4 linked regions of the Drosophila melanogaster genome follow. The protein of the gene in region 3 interacts with the protein of the main gene of each other region in a pairwise test. Each region holds a gene or a part of one and is shown on either strand. Other genes may lie near its edges.

Region 1 (3,187 bases), 7.2 Mb from region 3:
ACTGGCCGGCGGTCTGGGTCTGAGCATGATGTCCAAGGGCGTTATTGTTATCACAGTGGGCCAGCTGCTGGGATGGGTGCGAGACTACGCCGACTCCTACCTAATCTGCCTTTATGCTCAAGGAGTCATTCTGCTGGTGGTGGTTCTTGTTTGGACACCGGAGATATTGTACCGCCACCGCAGGCAGCGATGTGCCACCAACAAGTCCATGGAGACGCAGTCTATAGACGCAGCTGAAGTGGCCAAACTCAACTCCTAAATCTCTGGTCACTACCTGACTGGATAAGAGTTTAAGCGAAGGATATCGGTATTGACTGTCATGTGATAGGCGATGAAATGACTTCCCCGTAGGGAACATTCCACTCTCGCCGCAGTAGTTATCTGAGTTGTGAGGAAGGACCAGTGTCAGGAACAGCACTATCTGTATGACTATGCATCTTAGGTTTAGGTTTTCGATTATTTATTACCATTTTAGCCCCTAGACCTAACTTTTGTACTGCCATAAGAGCCAAAATACAAATTAAAGTATGCATATTACAAAAACCAGGTTTATTAGCATGAGACGAGTTTGCAACTCTTTCTCTGATCGATCTTACTTGGGTAGGTATACTATTTATTCCGAGGAAATGAAGCTGGGAGTGCTGGAAACAGCCGATGCGCCCGATTCTGTGTTGTAGAAGATGCGTCGCTCGATGCCATCCTTGGTGATGATGCCAATGCGCACCACACCACCGGAGCTGCCATCGTGGTAGATAGCGTGCTGGACAGCTGTTGGAGGAGGTTTAAATGGGATTCGATTGAAGGGAAACTGTTTTGGTTTTTTTGGGATTACCTACCCTTCTTGACGAATGTAACGCAATCCTCCAGCGCCATATTGGGGCGGTAGTGCTCCCTAACAAATCCGTAGATAAAACTAGATCCCGATCCGCCGATGGTGCAGGACTCGCGGGTCAGCATGCCGCCCAACGGGATGCTGTACACCTGGCCGCCGCGCTGCTCATCCCACCCAGCCACAATGATGCCGGCAAGCAGGGACTCGCGGTAGCTGTAGCAGTAATTACGGAACTCTGAGGCGGCCTCGAACACCAGAGCATCCTTGTTGGTCTGATTCTCGTGATAGTTCAGCGAGTAGGCCACAATGTCGGCAATGGCCTGGGTGTCGGCGGCCGAGCCACTGCGGCAGCAGTACACTTTGTCCGTGATGCGGGTCAGCTTGTCGGTGACCCGATTGGCAACATAGGCGCCCGAGCTGGTGCGCGAATCGGCTCCAATGACCACTCCGCCATCGAACTCCACTGCCATAATGGTGGTCTGCAAATAGGTAGGATTGTGCTCTTAGTACGAAGTTATGTGGCTGATGCTCTTCATACTTACACCAGTGCTGACCGGTGTGTCGGTGAAATCAAAGTCGGGCTGCATATTGATCTTTAAATTTGTTACAATTCAATTTACAATTGATATTTGTTGAAACGCCGCACGAACACGAAATGACTGGCTTGTTTTGGATAAGTGTTACCAGATGGCGATGTGAAATGAAATGCTTCAAATGAAAACATACACCTTTCGCACTGACAACAGTTCAGTAAAGTAAAAACGAAGTGCCAGCAGCCCTGCTTTGCGGTATATCGATAGTATCGATGTGGGTTCATTGCACATGTTGAATTTGTTTTGAATATTTGTTTTCTTGAATTAAGTCTAAAATGGCATACGTTGCACTGAGCGAAGCTGAAAAAACATATATTCTACACGGCGTGGAGGTGTGTTAAACGGTTATGCAAGAAATATAGTCTGTACCTTAAACTATGCGTTTCCAGGATGACTTTCGTTGCGATGGACGTTCACGACGAGATTACCGGCCCATGGACCTGGAAACTGGACTGGTTAGCAATGCCAGTGGATCCGCTCGCCTTCGGCTGGCGAACACAGACATACTGGTGGGCGTCAAAACCGAGATTGATGTACCCAACCCGCTGACGCCCGAGTTTGGTAAACTGGAATTTTTTGTGGATTGGTAATGATGCAACTGAAGTTCGAAGAATATGCCATAACATATATATTTCAGCTCTGCTAATGCCACGCCGGAGTTTGAAGGACGCGGGGGCTCGGATCTGGCCCAAGAACTTATTCTCTCCCTGCAGAACGCCTACGAATCGCCATTGGCCTTCAACTACCGCACGTTGTGCCTCATTCCGGGTCAGCAGTGCTGGAAGCTGTACATAGACATCCTGGTTAGACTCTAGTGTGCTTAATTATACCGAAAATGCTAATCCCTGTTCTCGCAGATTCTGGAGTGTGGCGGCAATCTACACGACGCAGTGTCGCTGGCCGCCAAAGCGGCTCTGTTCAACACAAAGCTGCCCCGGGTGACAGCCACCATGTTGGATGCCGGCATCACAGACCTCATCATATCGGACAATCCGTATGACTGCACCCGCATCGGCATCGAGACGGTTCCGCTGTTGGTCACAGTTTGCAAGATCGGTGATTATGTCCTGGTGGATCCTTCGGCGGAGGAGGAAGTCTGCAGCACAGTGAGCATGGTTGTGTCAGTTTCCATGCGGAATGGACAGGCATTCCTTTCGGGTACACACTTGACCGGCGGCGGAGCCATGCACCGGGACACCATGCGCAACTGTCTGGAGCTGGGTCTGGCCATTGGCGAGCATCTGGACCGGCTGCTCACTAAAATGCTAAATCTGGAGCAGCAGCGCGTCGGACTCAAGCGACCGCAAATAGTAGGATTTCTTAAATAAAGCGGCAAAGTCTTGTAATGAAAATTTACTATTTAAACGATCTGACTCTGACTTGGAGCTCGGCGCTCCGATTAAGCTTAATACTAAAAGCTATCTGGTGGCCAACTACTACTGGTCCTTGCGCTTCTTCGCCTGCCTGACGGCCGGAGCAGGCTTCTTCTCCTTGGGCTCGGGCTGCTTGCCCGTTAGCAGTGAAGTCAGCATTTCGCTGATCTCGGGCATATCGTTGCCCATCTGTGGAGCAGAGCATGATTCATATAATACTATAGTGCTGTGCTATACATGATCCTCACGGCTTACCTTTGGGAACTGCAGATTGTCGATCTCCTTCTTTGTCTCGGGATCGTTGATCATCTTGGGCAGCACCAGCATAAGGAGCAGAGGCAAGACCATCATTAGGACCATGGGGCTGAACAAGAAGTCGGTGATCTGTG
Region 2 (4,789 bases), on a different chromosome or scaffold from region 3:
AGTAGACAGGCAGACAAACTCTAAAAATGAACGGAAAGTATGTAGTTAGCGCCATCCGAGCTCTCCGGTTGACCAATTTCAGCCAGTGCAAAGGAGCCGCTAGCAGTTTCACTGTGCGCCACTATGGTAAGCCGCGATAGCCAGAATAAAAACGTGTGTTGCCATTTCATAACATCCCGCGATCGGCGGTTCTTCTCCTGCAGCCTCTCCTCCCAAGCGATTCTACAAGAAGACTTCCGTACTGAGCGGCGACAGCGGCTATGAAGTGGTGTTGGATCACCGGAAACTGAAAACGCCCAAGGGCACACCCTTCATCGTCCGCAGCGAACCCCTGGCCATTGCTGTAGCCACTGAGTTCGACGCTCAGAAGGAAAACATCGAGCGTTCCCGCATGCACTTATCCGCGCTCTGCTTCACGGCCATTGACAATCCCAATCACCTCTCCAAGTTGGACATGGTCAACTACCTTCTCAACTTCATCGCCACAGACACGGTGCTCTTCCAGTACGATGTGAGTGAATCAACTGAGAATTAGAGTGCACATTCCACAGACATATATCTTTTGCAGGACGAAAAGGACCTGCAGGACCTTCAGGTGAATGAATGGGACCCGGTGATCGCCTGGTTCAACCAGCGCTACGACACAAACCTGCAGAAGACCATGAACATAACGCCGCCTCAGGTCAGCGAGCAGGATAAAATGAATGTCGCAAAGCATTTTCAGTCCTACAGTTTGGAAACTCTGCATGGTAATGCAGACCATAAGTCTGGAGTTCAACGTCTATTAAATATATTTTCCTCCAGGCTTCATTTTCGCTGTGGACACCTTAAAGTCGATTGTCCTTGCCTGCGCCGTCATCGAGCAGATGCTTACCGTGGAGAAGGCTGTGGCCCTGGCGCGTCTAGAGGAAGAATACCAACTTAAGTTCTGGGGTCGCGTGGAGTGGGCACATGATTTAAGCCAACAGGAGTTGCAAGCACGCCTGGCGGCTGCCGTGCTCTTCGTACACCTTAACTGTTCGGAAAACCTTGTTAAGCAAAAGATAATTCTTTAAAATTAAAATACCTGTTCAACATACATATGAGCTGACTACCACAGGGTTATGGTAGCACGTATGTAGGTCTCCTAGGACCTAGGACATAATAATAGATGTATATAAATCGTGCCTAGTTTGAAACTTATCAAGGTCAGGTCATCCTCCCTTTTTTTTTAGCTCTTACCGGTTTTTTTTTGTTGTAATAATACGGTTTATATTATCATTTTTTCATACTTTCTTTAAGCACGAAAGTAACATACTCTTTTGACGTCTCTTATAACACAACTGAATTTTAGTTCTGATTTTAATTAGTAAGCCACAAGGATTCTGGTACAGCAATACGTGGAGGCAGTGAACATAAGGAAGTACATTAAGTTTTTTGGAACTACACATGTACAAATGTGTAGGATATATGTAACATTTTTAAATTTGAATGAGATTACTAAATTTTAGAAATATTTAGTTTGTTTAATCCTAATTTAAGGTTCGGTTTTTTTGCACCTTGACATAGAACCCTATTTTTGGAACCCATTGGCAAAACATGGACATTTATTTATCTTACTTAAGAAAAAATTAAGTGCTAGTGTAATAGGCGCTTAGAGGAAGTCTCAAAAAACAAAAATAATTAAGCAATTTTTTTTCGTAGGTGTGGTATATTCTGATAAATACTTGCTTGGTATTTTAAAATAGTTACGGTACAGTCCTACTGTACACTGCGGTCACACTGGTTCGGACGTGGGTGGCGCATCATCGGTGGTATTCTGTTGCTAATTAATCAAGTGCAAAACTACATTTTTCGCCAGTAAATCCGAGGAAAGCTAAGTTTGCAAGAAAACAAACGAAAGCAAAGGCAGTTGATAATATTACTGGCGCGTTTGGTAAGCAGCGTCGTTCGAGTGCGTGATTGTTCCAATGTTTGTGCTGGTGTGCGTTTGTGAGTGCCTTTTCACTAAAAAAAAATGTAAAAAAAAGTGTTGCCAAAGCAGTGAGGCATACATTTTCCCAGTCGCTTTGTTTCAAACGAACGAGATTTGCAAAATGCGATTTATAGACCAGAAAACAAATCTGTATCGTTGCGCTGGGGATATTTATCATTTGAACCATCCCTTTTCACTGTTCTCGGTAGAGGGGATGTGAAAAAACCAGCGACTACATCAACAAAAGCGTGTGTGTGAATATAACAATCTCGTTGTTCCCTAGTTTAGTTGCTAAGAAGCATTTTAATAATTGTGAAATCCCAGTACCGAGGACGACAACAAATGTAGATTTTTTCAAAGCACAAACAACTGCAGCACGACGTTCGTCGCCCTTCGGGAGCGGTTGTATTGGTGTTCCGTGCTGTTGTGTTTGTGCTACCACCTTGTTCGATTTTAATGTGTTGTTTCTGTTTTTCACATCAAAGCTCCGTATTTCGTGCGGAAAGTGTAAATGGCGTGTTTTAAATATTATTTCGGATGTGTCTCCGCTATATAATCAGCTGTTTGCAACGTTAGCGTTGACGCCCACATTTGAGCCCACTGTGTGCAGAATTCAACTAAAAGGTAAGTCCGATTGAGATAATTGTATTGTAAGCAAACACCAAACAGTCACACTTTTTACTATTTATATACATGGCTTACAGTGTTACCTCCTTAAACCGAATTTCATGTGTGTACACATTTACACGTATACGCATTGACTTCTTTTGTTCTTTGTTTTTATTCCCTGTCAGAGAGTATATTGATTTTAGGTGGACATTTGCGACCATATAAAATATATATATTCCTGATAAAGAATATTTAATATATCTTCTTTTTCGGTATACACCAGTGTTTGACAGTATATAATTTCGGTTTTAAACAGAAATCTGGATGAAGCTGTTCTATCTTTAATATCAAATTACGGAAAGGGTATATAAGCTCCGGTTTGTTGAAGCTACTATTCTTAATTTTAATTTTAAGTTGGTCTATGCTAATTGTGTTTTATCCTGATTTGTTTTTATCTTTTACTGTTTTTTTTTTGTACATTTTGGGAAGCTGAAACAATTTCTGATTAATTTTTAAAAAAGCGCGCCCTATAGGTAAATTTTACTGTGTAATTTAGTCGAATGATATTGGGCAGATTGGGCATGCAGATTGCAGTGACGTCGGCGGAGCTTAAGAATGTTTATGACTTCGTCTTCTAAAATGTTAATGTTTTTGAAAAAGGCTCTTAGAGAATACAATTGATTTTCTTGCCAATTAAAAAATATAATTCTGTCATAATCGTGGACGTCTGATATAGAATCTGCGAAAGGTCACGCTTTTAACTTTGCGTCAATATTTGGTCACCCACCGTTGGTTTGGCATATAAATTGCCGGGCTTTGGAATTTCAGTTTCGCAATGAAGTGTAAGGTGTGAAAAATGTTTGCAATAATCAAATCAAATCAGCACCAATGAGGTTAAACGGGGGAGGGCAACCCTGAATTGCTCGTTCAGATCTGACTTCGTCTGCTTCTGTAATGAGGATGTGCTCAATTAGATTCAAATCCATGTGGGTTCATAACGAGAAACAGGGAAAGTTCTACGGTTTCGGCTTTTTAGTGCTTTACTAACTAGAAAAATGGAATGGGTGTGCCCTTTAAAATATAACTAAAGAATACAGAACATAATTGGGGCTGTCAATGCCTTTTGTATCACCTTGCTTATTTATAGTTTGTATATTTTATACATATATCAATTTAAGCGGTTTTTGAATAATAATAGGGTATATTGATTTAAGCCAGAACTTTGTGCCGCAGTGAAGTATATAGAGATTTTACCAGATTCACTCGATTTGTTAAAAAGTATGTAAAAGGTTTTGAGTCCTTCCTAATGAACTCCTCGATCTCGGGAACTATAAAGGCTAGAAGTTGATATTAAGCATGCAGATTACAGAGACATAGACGCAGCCCAAGTATGTTTTAAATGTTTCATTTTAATATAGTATTTCCTGATCTGTATCGTAAGACAACAAAATTATGAAACTTTGCGTTCGTATTCCCACTAGCTGAGTAACGGGTATCTGTTAGTCTGGGAATTCGACTTTAGCATTCACTTTTGTTATACCCCTTACTCTACGAGTAATATGCTCTACGAGTAACGGTATGTAATAGGTACGAATATGTAATAGGCAGAATGAGGCGTTTCCGATCATGTAAAGTATATATATTCTTGATCAGGATCAATAGCCGAGTCGATTTGGCCGTCTGTCCGTGTGAACGTCGAGATCTCAGGAACTGTAAAAGCTAGAAGGTTAAGACTCAGCGTATAGATTGTAGAAACAAAGACGCACAAACCGCACAAAACTGCCACGCCCACACTTTTAGAAAATGAGTTGATATTTTTTCATATTTTTATTGGTTTTGTAAATTTCTATCGATTTGCAAAAAAAACTTTTTGCCACGCCCAAAAACCGCATTTACTGCTTGCTTTTTTATAATTTTATAATATAATAATAAAAATTATATATAATATAATATAATATATATAATGTAATATAATAGATAATATAAATAATATAATATAATATTTATAATATAATATAATATTTATAATATAATATAATATATATAATATAATATAATATAATATATATAATATAATATAATATAATATATATAATATAATATAATATATAATATATATATCATAATGTTCATTATGAACTATTTATACCAGTTACTCGTAGAGTAAAAGGTTTTACTAGGTTCTTTGAAAAGCATGTAGGTAGAAGAAAGCGTTTCCGGTAGTTT
Region 3 (3,515 bases):
ATCTACGTGGAAATCAATTAGCAACTGCCGGTTTGCAGGCCATAAAAGTGAAAATCCGGAGCAGACAGCATAATGCCACCCAAGAGCTGTCAATGGAGGAAGACCACACAAGTGGACGCAGGAGTAGGGGAAAATGGAGCCTGGTCACGCACAGGGGAGATGGACGCAAAGGAAGGGGGCGTGGCGAGGAGGAGAAAGATAGAGATCCCGATTGCCAGCTCGAATATGAAATTATTCAAATGCAGCCACAACATATAAATTCAAGTTAATCCGCACAGCTGGACATCGCCTCAGTCCCCAGATCCCCGGAGGCAGACGAGCGGATCTGGTTAGTGGGGATCTATATAGAGCTATATATCCATACCCATAGCGGGTACAAGGACTCTGAGCTGCCAGCCCGCTGATGGGCGCCAGCTTTTAATCATTATTAATTATCCAAGGGCCAGGTCGGAGGAGTATAAATCACTTGTGCTGGCGCTGCACCATTTCCAGTGGGAGGAGCGGCTAATCTATTTTAGGCCAACTTGCAAAACGCTGAGAAATGTGGCTAATTACAGGGGGGGGGGGGGCAGTGGAGCAGCCACCATTCATTTATATGAACATAAATCGAAATGATACAATTAACTACTATGTACATGTAGATAGTAGGAGGATCTAGAAATTGCTGGCCGGCGATACAGAGGTCTCGTCGTCCATATCGAAGTCCATGTTGGCACCTTGTTCCTCGATTTCTTTAGCCCTATAGATGGTGCACATTTCCACGTGCTCCCACCTAAGCGCTTTCCTGGCCAACTGTTCAGCCTCGCTGAGGTTTATGAAATCATTCCAGTCTTTCGAGAGAAAGTCCACAATGTTCTCCTTATCTCTGCCCTTTGCACCATACATCACCATGCGTGACTTTCCACACTCCATGCTGAATAAGTGAAGGCCCCTGCTGTCCTGGCCAGCTATCATGACATTTGGGGATTCGGCGGTCTGGTACTTTTCGCAAAACATGTCCCGCACCTGGGACACGGTCACATTCTGGCCGCGATCCCGGACTAGATTTGCCACCTTTGAACTCACTTCCAGAACTATGTTCCGATCGATGCCGGAACGAGGTGCGCAGCAGCTGAATAATTAATAAGTTATTTTAAGGCATTGCAAATTGAATAGACTTACTAAATGCGGTCATCTATTAGATACATTTCGTATTCCTTCGAGTCGGTGGCCAGTATCACGGCGTTGGTACTCTTAAGACCCACGATGTTGCCTTGAATCGACTTGGAACTGTGGGAATCAATAGCTAGTAAGTAAAAGTATATATGATTTCAGTCACAAACTCACCTTTCACCTTCCATCATTTTCAAATAGACTCCCAAAAGCGTTCGAGCAGAAAAGTGCCAGTTAAATGAGCTGCAAAGATTCTTTAAAACTTTAAAAGGGCTTGGGAAGTAGAAAATAAACTTGAGCTGGGTACAAAGACCTTTCAAAACTAATATTTGCTCAAGTAGATTAAGGCCAACAAATCGTCAACGCCTGTGTGGCTATCCATTGTCTGAAAGTAAGTGATATTGGCAGCCCGAGGCTGTCCGTCACCTACGCTGGATGGCGATCTTCAGATGGCGATGGCGATGATGATGATGGGGTCTCGCCAACTGGTTGGCACTGGCCGAGAAACGCGTCTCTGCGCAGTTTCCGAGGCAGCTGCACCTGCTGGCCCTAAAAATAGATCCAACCAGTTGGCGAAGTCAAGACCAGAAGGCCTCGGAATGGTAGACACTTTAACGAGCCTATCAATTTAAAGACACACACTGTCCGCGCAACGATGTAATCGATGTGTTAATTAGCCTAAGCAGGAACAGGGATCAACCTACCTAGAATCGGAGTGGATTTGAGCCTATTACCAAGATTCTGGATCTGAATGTTTGACGCACAATTAAAAGCCAACTTGATTGCACGGTTCATATTCCATGTCACAAGGGATTTGCTTTCAAATTAATAAGGCCCTGACACAGGGTTCAAAATTAATACTTGTTTTAATGCCAGCTCTATTTGCTGCAAAAAGTGGCTCTTCAAGGGAGTGAAATACATCATACAAATGTGCACTATTAATTAAATAAAATAGCGTTAATGCTAATTAACACATGCTAAAGTATTTTTTACGTTGGTATATTCGGTTTGACAAAGAACGCCATCATCTATCAACTATGGGTGTTAGTTCAATTAACTTTAATCACCATTGGATGTCAGGCCTATTCCAATTACCAATGGCCAATTGGCTTTTGACAGAGGCTGTTCTCTCTCTGCTTTGGCCCGATATCGTTTTCCCATTTGACAAAATAATAATCGCGTGTGGATCACTCTTGACTTCCCCCCCATCGCAAGCCCCTTATTACATTATTATTATTATTATTGGTACTCGTCTGCATGTCTGGAATTTAATTTTTTCTGGCATTTACAAAACACTTCAACCCGTTTTGACAAGAGTCGGCGATGACAGCAATTACCATACGATTTGCATGACGTTTATGTTTATTTTCGCTTTGTATTCCCTTCCAGGCGGCAATCGTGAATATTTTGCCCAGCCTTTGTGTTCTTTTGGCCAAGTCGAAAAGAAGCCAACCTGCGAGTGCTCAGGTTGATTTCGATTTTGACAGCTGCCTGCCTGACTCACTCCACTGGGCTGCCTCGCTGTTCGCATTTTGGCTGGATTCGCATTTCATTAGCTCGTTATGGACCACCTACGGCCAGGCCGGGCCAACTGCTGACAGAGGAGCACCCTCTGATCCCCACCCATGGTTTCGTCCATTTGGCAGACCCACAGCGAAGCAATTAAGCCGCCTGGCATCGAACACAATCCCGTCCAATGGGGCAATTTAAGGTATTTACAAAAGCGTAAAAAGGTAAGGAAAACAAGACTGGCTCCTCCCAATCAAAACATGACGAATGCCACTCGAGGCCCTCTCCGAGATGTCAATCGTTCAAGTTTAAGTCGATTCGACCGAGGAACGCTCCGCTCCTTCCTCCTAACTGACCGTAAAATGAAATCTTTAAGTTCTTCAAGGGAACTCTGCAGCTTCGGATGAGAATACATACATATATGATATACTCTTGTTAGGGTTTTTTTTTTTTTTATTGATATTTCATCGTTGAATATGTTGAAGCAAATGAGCAAAAATTGTATGAGCCACATTGAGAACTAGTGAAACTTCAAGTGGGAAATTTAACAGAAGTATACTGAGAAATTTAAGAAGTCTACACACTTGAACAGCTTTCATGGGATATACATGTTTTCGAAATGCGATCTTTGTTTTAGGCAAAGGTTTTTCCGCCATTGTCGTCGGCAACGTCGTCGTCGTCGTCATCAAAGTCCTTGTCCTGAATCTTAAAGTAGGTCATGGCGAAGGTGTCCTTGGCCGTGGACACTACCCGCAACCAATCACGCAGGCTGACCTTCTTCAAATACCGTTTGGTCAGATACTTGAAGTAGCGCTTGGAGAAGTGCACACCGGAGTGGATGATCAGCGAGAAGT
Region 4 (4,843 bases), 830 kb from region 3:
AATCAGCGTCAGTGAAAAAAGCCAAGGTGAGTGCTCGCCTATCAGTTGTGTCAAGAATCAGGCCTGAGACATCCATATCATTCAGATGATACCGCACAGCGAGAATCCTTTTTCGATCGAGGATACTTACGTCGAGGAGCCACAGTTCTCTGAGCAGTGCGGCAACAGTCGTTGTGGACAGCCCCAAACTGCGTATGAGGTCTATCAGAGAATCCTGCTAAGATTACAAGCCCAGGAACATACACGCTCCACAGAAGCCAATGAATATGAGATAAGGAAGAAGTTCTGGATAGCCAGCTTCACTGGGAGGCCCTTGCAATATCAATGTTAGTTGAACAACACAAAAGAAAACCATATCCCTGATAGAAAATATATCCAAAGATAGACAGACATTTGTTTTAAGCCTTTATTAACTTTATAGCCTTACTTTAGACATTAACAGTTAAACTTAAGCTACTTACCCATCAGATTTAAAATAAAATAATACTTTGAAAAAACCTGAAATATTTTAGTTATGCAAACTCTTTATATGTTTATTCAATGTTTTTTCTTTTTCATTTATAAATTTATAATAGTTTATTAACTTATTTTTAGACGCACTTTAAGGTCTTGATGTGATCTTCATTTCGTTTTTTTTTTTTTTTTTTTTTTTTTTGATTAAACAATGTGATAAGTTCGCACGGTTTTATTTCATTAGATATAAACCTCTTGATTCTACTGCTAGTGAGACAATTGTTTAATTACGTAATGCATATATTCATGGTAAATGAGGGGTCGAGTCATTTAAAAGAATAGGATAGTTAGATCTGATTGCAGAGAATTTATTAAATTCATTCAATGCGTATCATTTTATTACATTCATAGAAAATTACGAACTCGGGAAATCATAATTTAAACATAATAGGAATTATTTGACTTATTATCTGTTGAAATGGTCCAGAAAAGGCATGCCAACAGTTTAACATATTTATGGATATACAAATTTAAGATTAATATTGTTTGTGGGAATTGATAGCGCAAGTGCGCGTTTTATAAATATTAATGTTTATTAATTGATAGCATCATTTTGAATGCTGCTTTCTTCTTGATTAAAGTATTTTCAATGTGCTCCCAGCATGGATTTTATAACGTAAGCATTGTCCTTTGTTTTCATTTATAGCGGTGTGCGACGAAATCAACCGGAGCTCTATTATTTATATTTTTTAAGTATTGTATACGGATTGGGCTTATAGGACTTGATGGGCGGTTCGCGCATACGTTTCATGTCAGTCGGATATGGACGTTTATATGCCGCTGCGTTTGTCGGTATTATTGATGGACGTGCTATAAAATTGGTTGATTATTATTTGTAGTATTTTATGCGTGTATGTAATTACTATAAAGGAGTGAATCGTTGCATAATATTAATCATTCCAGTGTATTATATAGTTTGATCTGAGAGCTTGCTCAATCACAGTTATTGGTTTTGATAGTATGATCTAATCTAATCTATAACCCAAAGTTCCTGTCAAAGGTGCATCCCAAAAAACTGGTGCATTCAGGGGAAAAATCGATCTTATGTCATAGACCCCGGCACTACCCAAATAAAGAATGCATGCTTGGGATTAACTTACGTTTGCTGTACTCATAGCCCGTAGGCGGACGCTTGGGGGGCATACGATGTTCATACTCATAGGCCACCTCCTCCACATCGTCGACTCTATAAAAATGAAAATGTTAATTGCTGGGTTAACAGATGTTGGCTAGGATTTAAGGCACTACTATGACGCGAGGACTCTCGGTTCCATTACTCCTGGTGGGGTCATTAAATAATACAAAATTATACTTTACAAGTAACTTACTCGGGCGGATTTTCCGCAGCTCTCTTAATCAGGTTGATGTATTTGGGAGCCCCATTGCTGTTGCCTCCAAACTTCTTGTCGAAGACAGATCTGCAAAATAATATATTTTTATTCTCATGCCCAAAGGCTGCATAGGGTGTAAGATTACCTGTAGGCCTCCAGATTCGGTCCGTGAATGTTTTTGGCTGACTCGGGATCCATTTCCATCAGCTCGCGCAGCTGTTCGTGTGAAACCTCGTCGTTCTTGTCTGGAATAAGATACTTACGGATCTCGGCCAGAGCGTAGGCTATGCGGGCATAGCACTCCGCCGGAGTGGCCACCGTGCTGACCTCCAAAAATAGGTCCTTCTGAAGATGAGCATATCTCGGGTCGCCTGTGCTGCGCAGCTGCTCTTCTTTGTTACGATCGCGGATCGAACTGCGACCCTTAATGGCAATCTTGCACTGGGTCTCCTCCTGAAGGCGACGCAGCGAATTGCCCTTGGGCCCCAGGATCTTGCCAGTGAAGTTGAACTGCGCAAGGGTACGGATTTATTTTTCGAACGGAGAGGACAGCTAATTGTATAAACCCACCTTGGGATACTGCTTTACGGGCACGAAGACCTTTTGGGTAATCTTCATCGGCTTCTGCTTGTACACGTCTGCGTAGAACTCTTTTCCGGGAATACGACCAGTGCAGTAGACACGGTCCACAGCTGCAATATTGGGATTAGTACCATTAAAATACCCTGTAAAAGGGCCAAATTGATTTTACCCTCGTCGATTAGCAGTGCGCAAAGTGGAAAGTCCGCGGACAATCGCTGGCGCTCCTCGTCCAAATCGGCGAGAAACTTTTGGGCCACCTCGTTAAGACGCGGCTGGTGATCGTGGGTGGGTGGCTGTTTCTCAGTAAACTCGCTTGGGGTTTCCATTTTTATCATAACAATCTTTACAGAAAATTACAATTAAAAATGGTGTAGACTGAAAAACAGTATGTACACCAATGAACTAAAATAATGGCAGAGCTGCCAAGCGTGTGAAGTTTTCGGGCTGCCAACTTTTTTAATTCAATAGTGATTGTTTAAATGTCGATTTTTTCCACTGTGTACAAAATGTCGTGTTTGAAACACAGAAGTAGTACAATTACTATAGATTATTTTAAAAAGTTAAATCTGTTAGTAAGGAGCTTCGCCGAGAAGATAGCGGAGCTGCCACCATTTCGATTTCATACATGGTGCAATATCGATATTTTTGGCGGCTGCCTTGATACTCATCTCTAAAAATATGGTATTTGGATTGCATTCGCTTGGTTTGTTTTCAATTTTTATAGTGCGCAATGGCCAGCGAGGAACTATTTGAGGCTGAATTCTCGGAAGAACAGGACTTGGAGCATCAGCAGGCCATGGAGACTGAGGAGGCGGAGCTAGCGGAAACAGAAGAGCCTTTGGAAATCACCGAGGAATCGCCGGATAATCCTGAGGCAGAATCTACAACAGAACAATTGACAGAAAAACCAGGTAAGTTAGATGCACTTAGATAGAATTTCTCCTATATGGCTCCTTTCCTTCCAGTGACGAATGGCAACAAGGCCCCTGCTGATAACGAAGCCAAGATGACACAACTGCCGTTGGCCAGGATACGGAACATAATGAAACTAGATCCGGATCTGCATATGGCCAACAATGAGGCCGTGTTCATAGTGGCGAAGGCAGTGGAACTATTCATAGCCTCGTTGTCACGGGAATCATATACCTACACGGCGCAGTCCAAAAAGAAAACCATACAAAAGAGGGACGTGGATATGGCCATTTCTGCTGTGGACAGTTTGCTATTCCTTGATGGAGCCATGAACTTTTGAACACCCCCACAAATGAAACTGGATTTGTCGATTATACTTTTATACTTTATTTAGGGATATTCAGCGGCAAACAAATTCAGTTCTAAACGTCCTTATGGTTTTATGTTAAAAATAATATTTAAGTTATAAAACAATTGTTGATTCGCAAAGAAAAAAAAACAAAAAAGAAATCATAATTATAAACGACAACGTTTAACGTTTCACAATACTCTTTGCTATTCGGAATTTGTAACGAAGCCGGCATTTGGTTAATTTATTTAACTGCTGAATAGTGTGGTTTGTTGTTTGTTAATCATACTCTGTCCGCAGGCGATACTTACTTTGTCGTTGGGCACATACATTTGTAGTTTATATTTTGCTTTTTATGTTGGTTTTATCTCCATTATCTTATGAAACAATATTTTCAAGCTTAGTCTAAAATTATGCTTTGATAAATTAATTGTTTTGGGGGGGTTTTCGCTTGTGTTTAGTTCTCTTCTCGTATTGGCTTTAACTAGTATTAGGTTGATTGAAGTATGTCTTTTGTTTTTACAATCTTTTTGAGGATAAAATTTGTTGCATTATTGGTTTCTTGTTTTAATTTTAAACACAATTTGAATATCGGACAACAGTTGCAATAAAAATTTACGTTTTTTATTTGATTTTCGTTTATATATTATATTTAATAGGTGTGAATAGTTGGATTGTTGACTTCAAACATTTTGATATTTCGTTGGAATATATTTTAATCTTTACGCTTAACATTGTTTAGTTGTGGTTGTTGTTGTTGTTGTAGTTGTTGTTGAGGTTGGTTTCTTGGGGTTTTGGAAAATCGATGGGTTAACGTATTTTCGGATATGGAGCCGAGCGATATCGCACGCTTTCACGAGATCGGGATCCAGTTTCGTAGTGAGCAGATGAATGTGATCCCGAGCCCGAGGTGGTTGGTCGATATGACGATGATGAACGACCGTTGCTTGGTTTTGCTATTTTGAAAAGAATTTTATTTGTTGTTTAGACTTTAAATTGTTTCTTGTTCTGTCTCTGTGGTGCTGTTTTTTGGTTTTTGGTTTTTCTTTTGCTTAGCATATATACATTGTAAAAAAAAGAAAAATATATTGTTTAACCGGTTTTGAATGCACTACACCCTACGAAACGTTATTGTTTTGAGTAAAATGCATTTCGT

What was found.
Region 1: the proteins of yip3 (region 3) and Prosbeta1 interact in a two-hybrid assay, tested with the Drosophila melanogaster proteins (one large-scale study listed by BioGRID).
Region 2: the proteins of yip3 (region 3) and CG8671 interact in a two-hybrid assay, tested with the Drosophila melanogaster proteins (one large-scale study listed by BioGRID).
Region 4: the proteins of yip3 (region 3) and qkr58E-3 interact in a two-hybrid assay, tested with the Drosophila melanogaster proteins (one large-scale study listed by BioGRID).

What each region holds. Positions count from the first base shown.
Region 1 is NT_033778.4:16,013,278-16,016,464, forward strand, and holds Prosbeta1 (proteasome beta1 subunit), read right to left. Parts: upstream 1,511-3,187; 5' UTR 1,420-1,510; coding exon 1,375-1,419; intron 1,312-1,374; coding exon 837-1,311; intron 769-836; coding exon 614-768; 3' UTR 528-613; downstream 1-527. Other genes in the region: CG8389 (uncharacterized protein), read left to right, coding at 1-259; Rrp42, read left to right, coding at 1,701-1,757, 1,815-2,011, 2,063-2,228, 2,283-2,753; EMC7 (ER membrane protein complex subunit 7), read right to left, coding at 2,862-2,987, 3,054-3,182.
Region 2 is NT_033779.5:21,261,209-21,265,997, forward strand, and holds the start of CG8671 (uncharacterized protein), read left to right. Parts: upstream 1-1,747; 5' UTR 1,748-1,915; exon of another isoform or gene 1,916-1,971; intron 1,972-2,439; 5' UTR 2,440-2,578; intron 2,579-2,724; exon of another isoform or gene 2,725-2,826; intron 2,827-4,789. Other genes in the region: l(2)k14505 (lethal (2) k14505), read left to right, coding at 27-126, 204-511, 569-749, 805-1,055.
Region 3 is NT_033778.4:23,243,491-23,247,005, forward strand, and holds yip3 (yippee interacting protein 3), read right to left. Parts: upstream 1,910-3,515; 5' UTR 1,344-1,909; coding exon 1,327-1,343; intron 1,270-1,326; coding exon 1,162-1,269; intron 1,112-1,161; coding exon 655-1,111; 3' UTR 554-654; downstream 1-553. Other genes in the region: RpL22-like (ribosomal protein L22-like), read right to left, coding at 3,295-3,515.
Region 4 is NT_033778.4:22,408,698-22,413,540, forward strand, and holds qkr58E-3 (quaking related 58E-3), read right to left. Parts: upstream 2,849-4,843; 5' UTR 2,753-2,848; coding exon 2,596-2,752; intron 2,537-2,595; coding exon 2,415-2,536; intron 2,355-2,414; coding exon 1,990-2,354; intron 1,932-1,989; coding exon 1,842-1,931; intron 1,700-1,841; coding exon 1,614-1,699; intron 1,324-1,613; coding exon 1,190-1,323; 3' UTR 511-1,189; downstream 1-510. Other genes in the region: VepD (Ventrally-expressed protein D), read left to right, coding at 86-331; PolE4 (DNA polymerase epsilon subunit 4), read left to right, coding at 3,157-3,337, 3,392-3,678; qkr58E-1 (quaking related 58E-1), read right to left, coding at 4,498-4,643.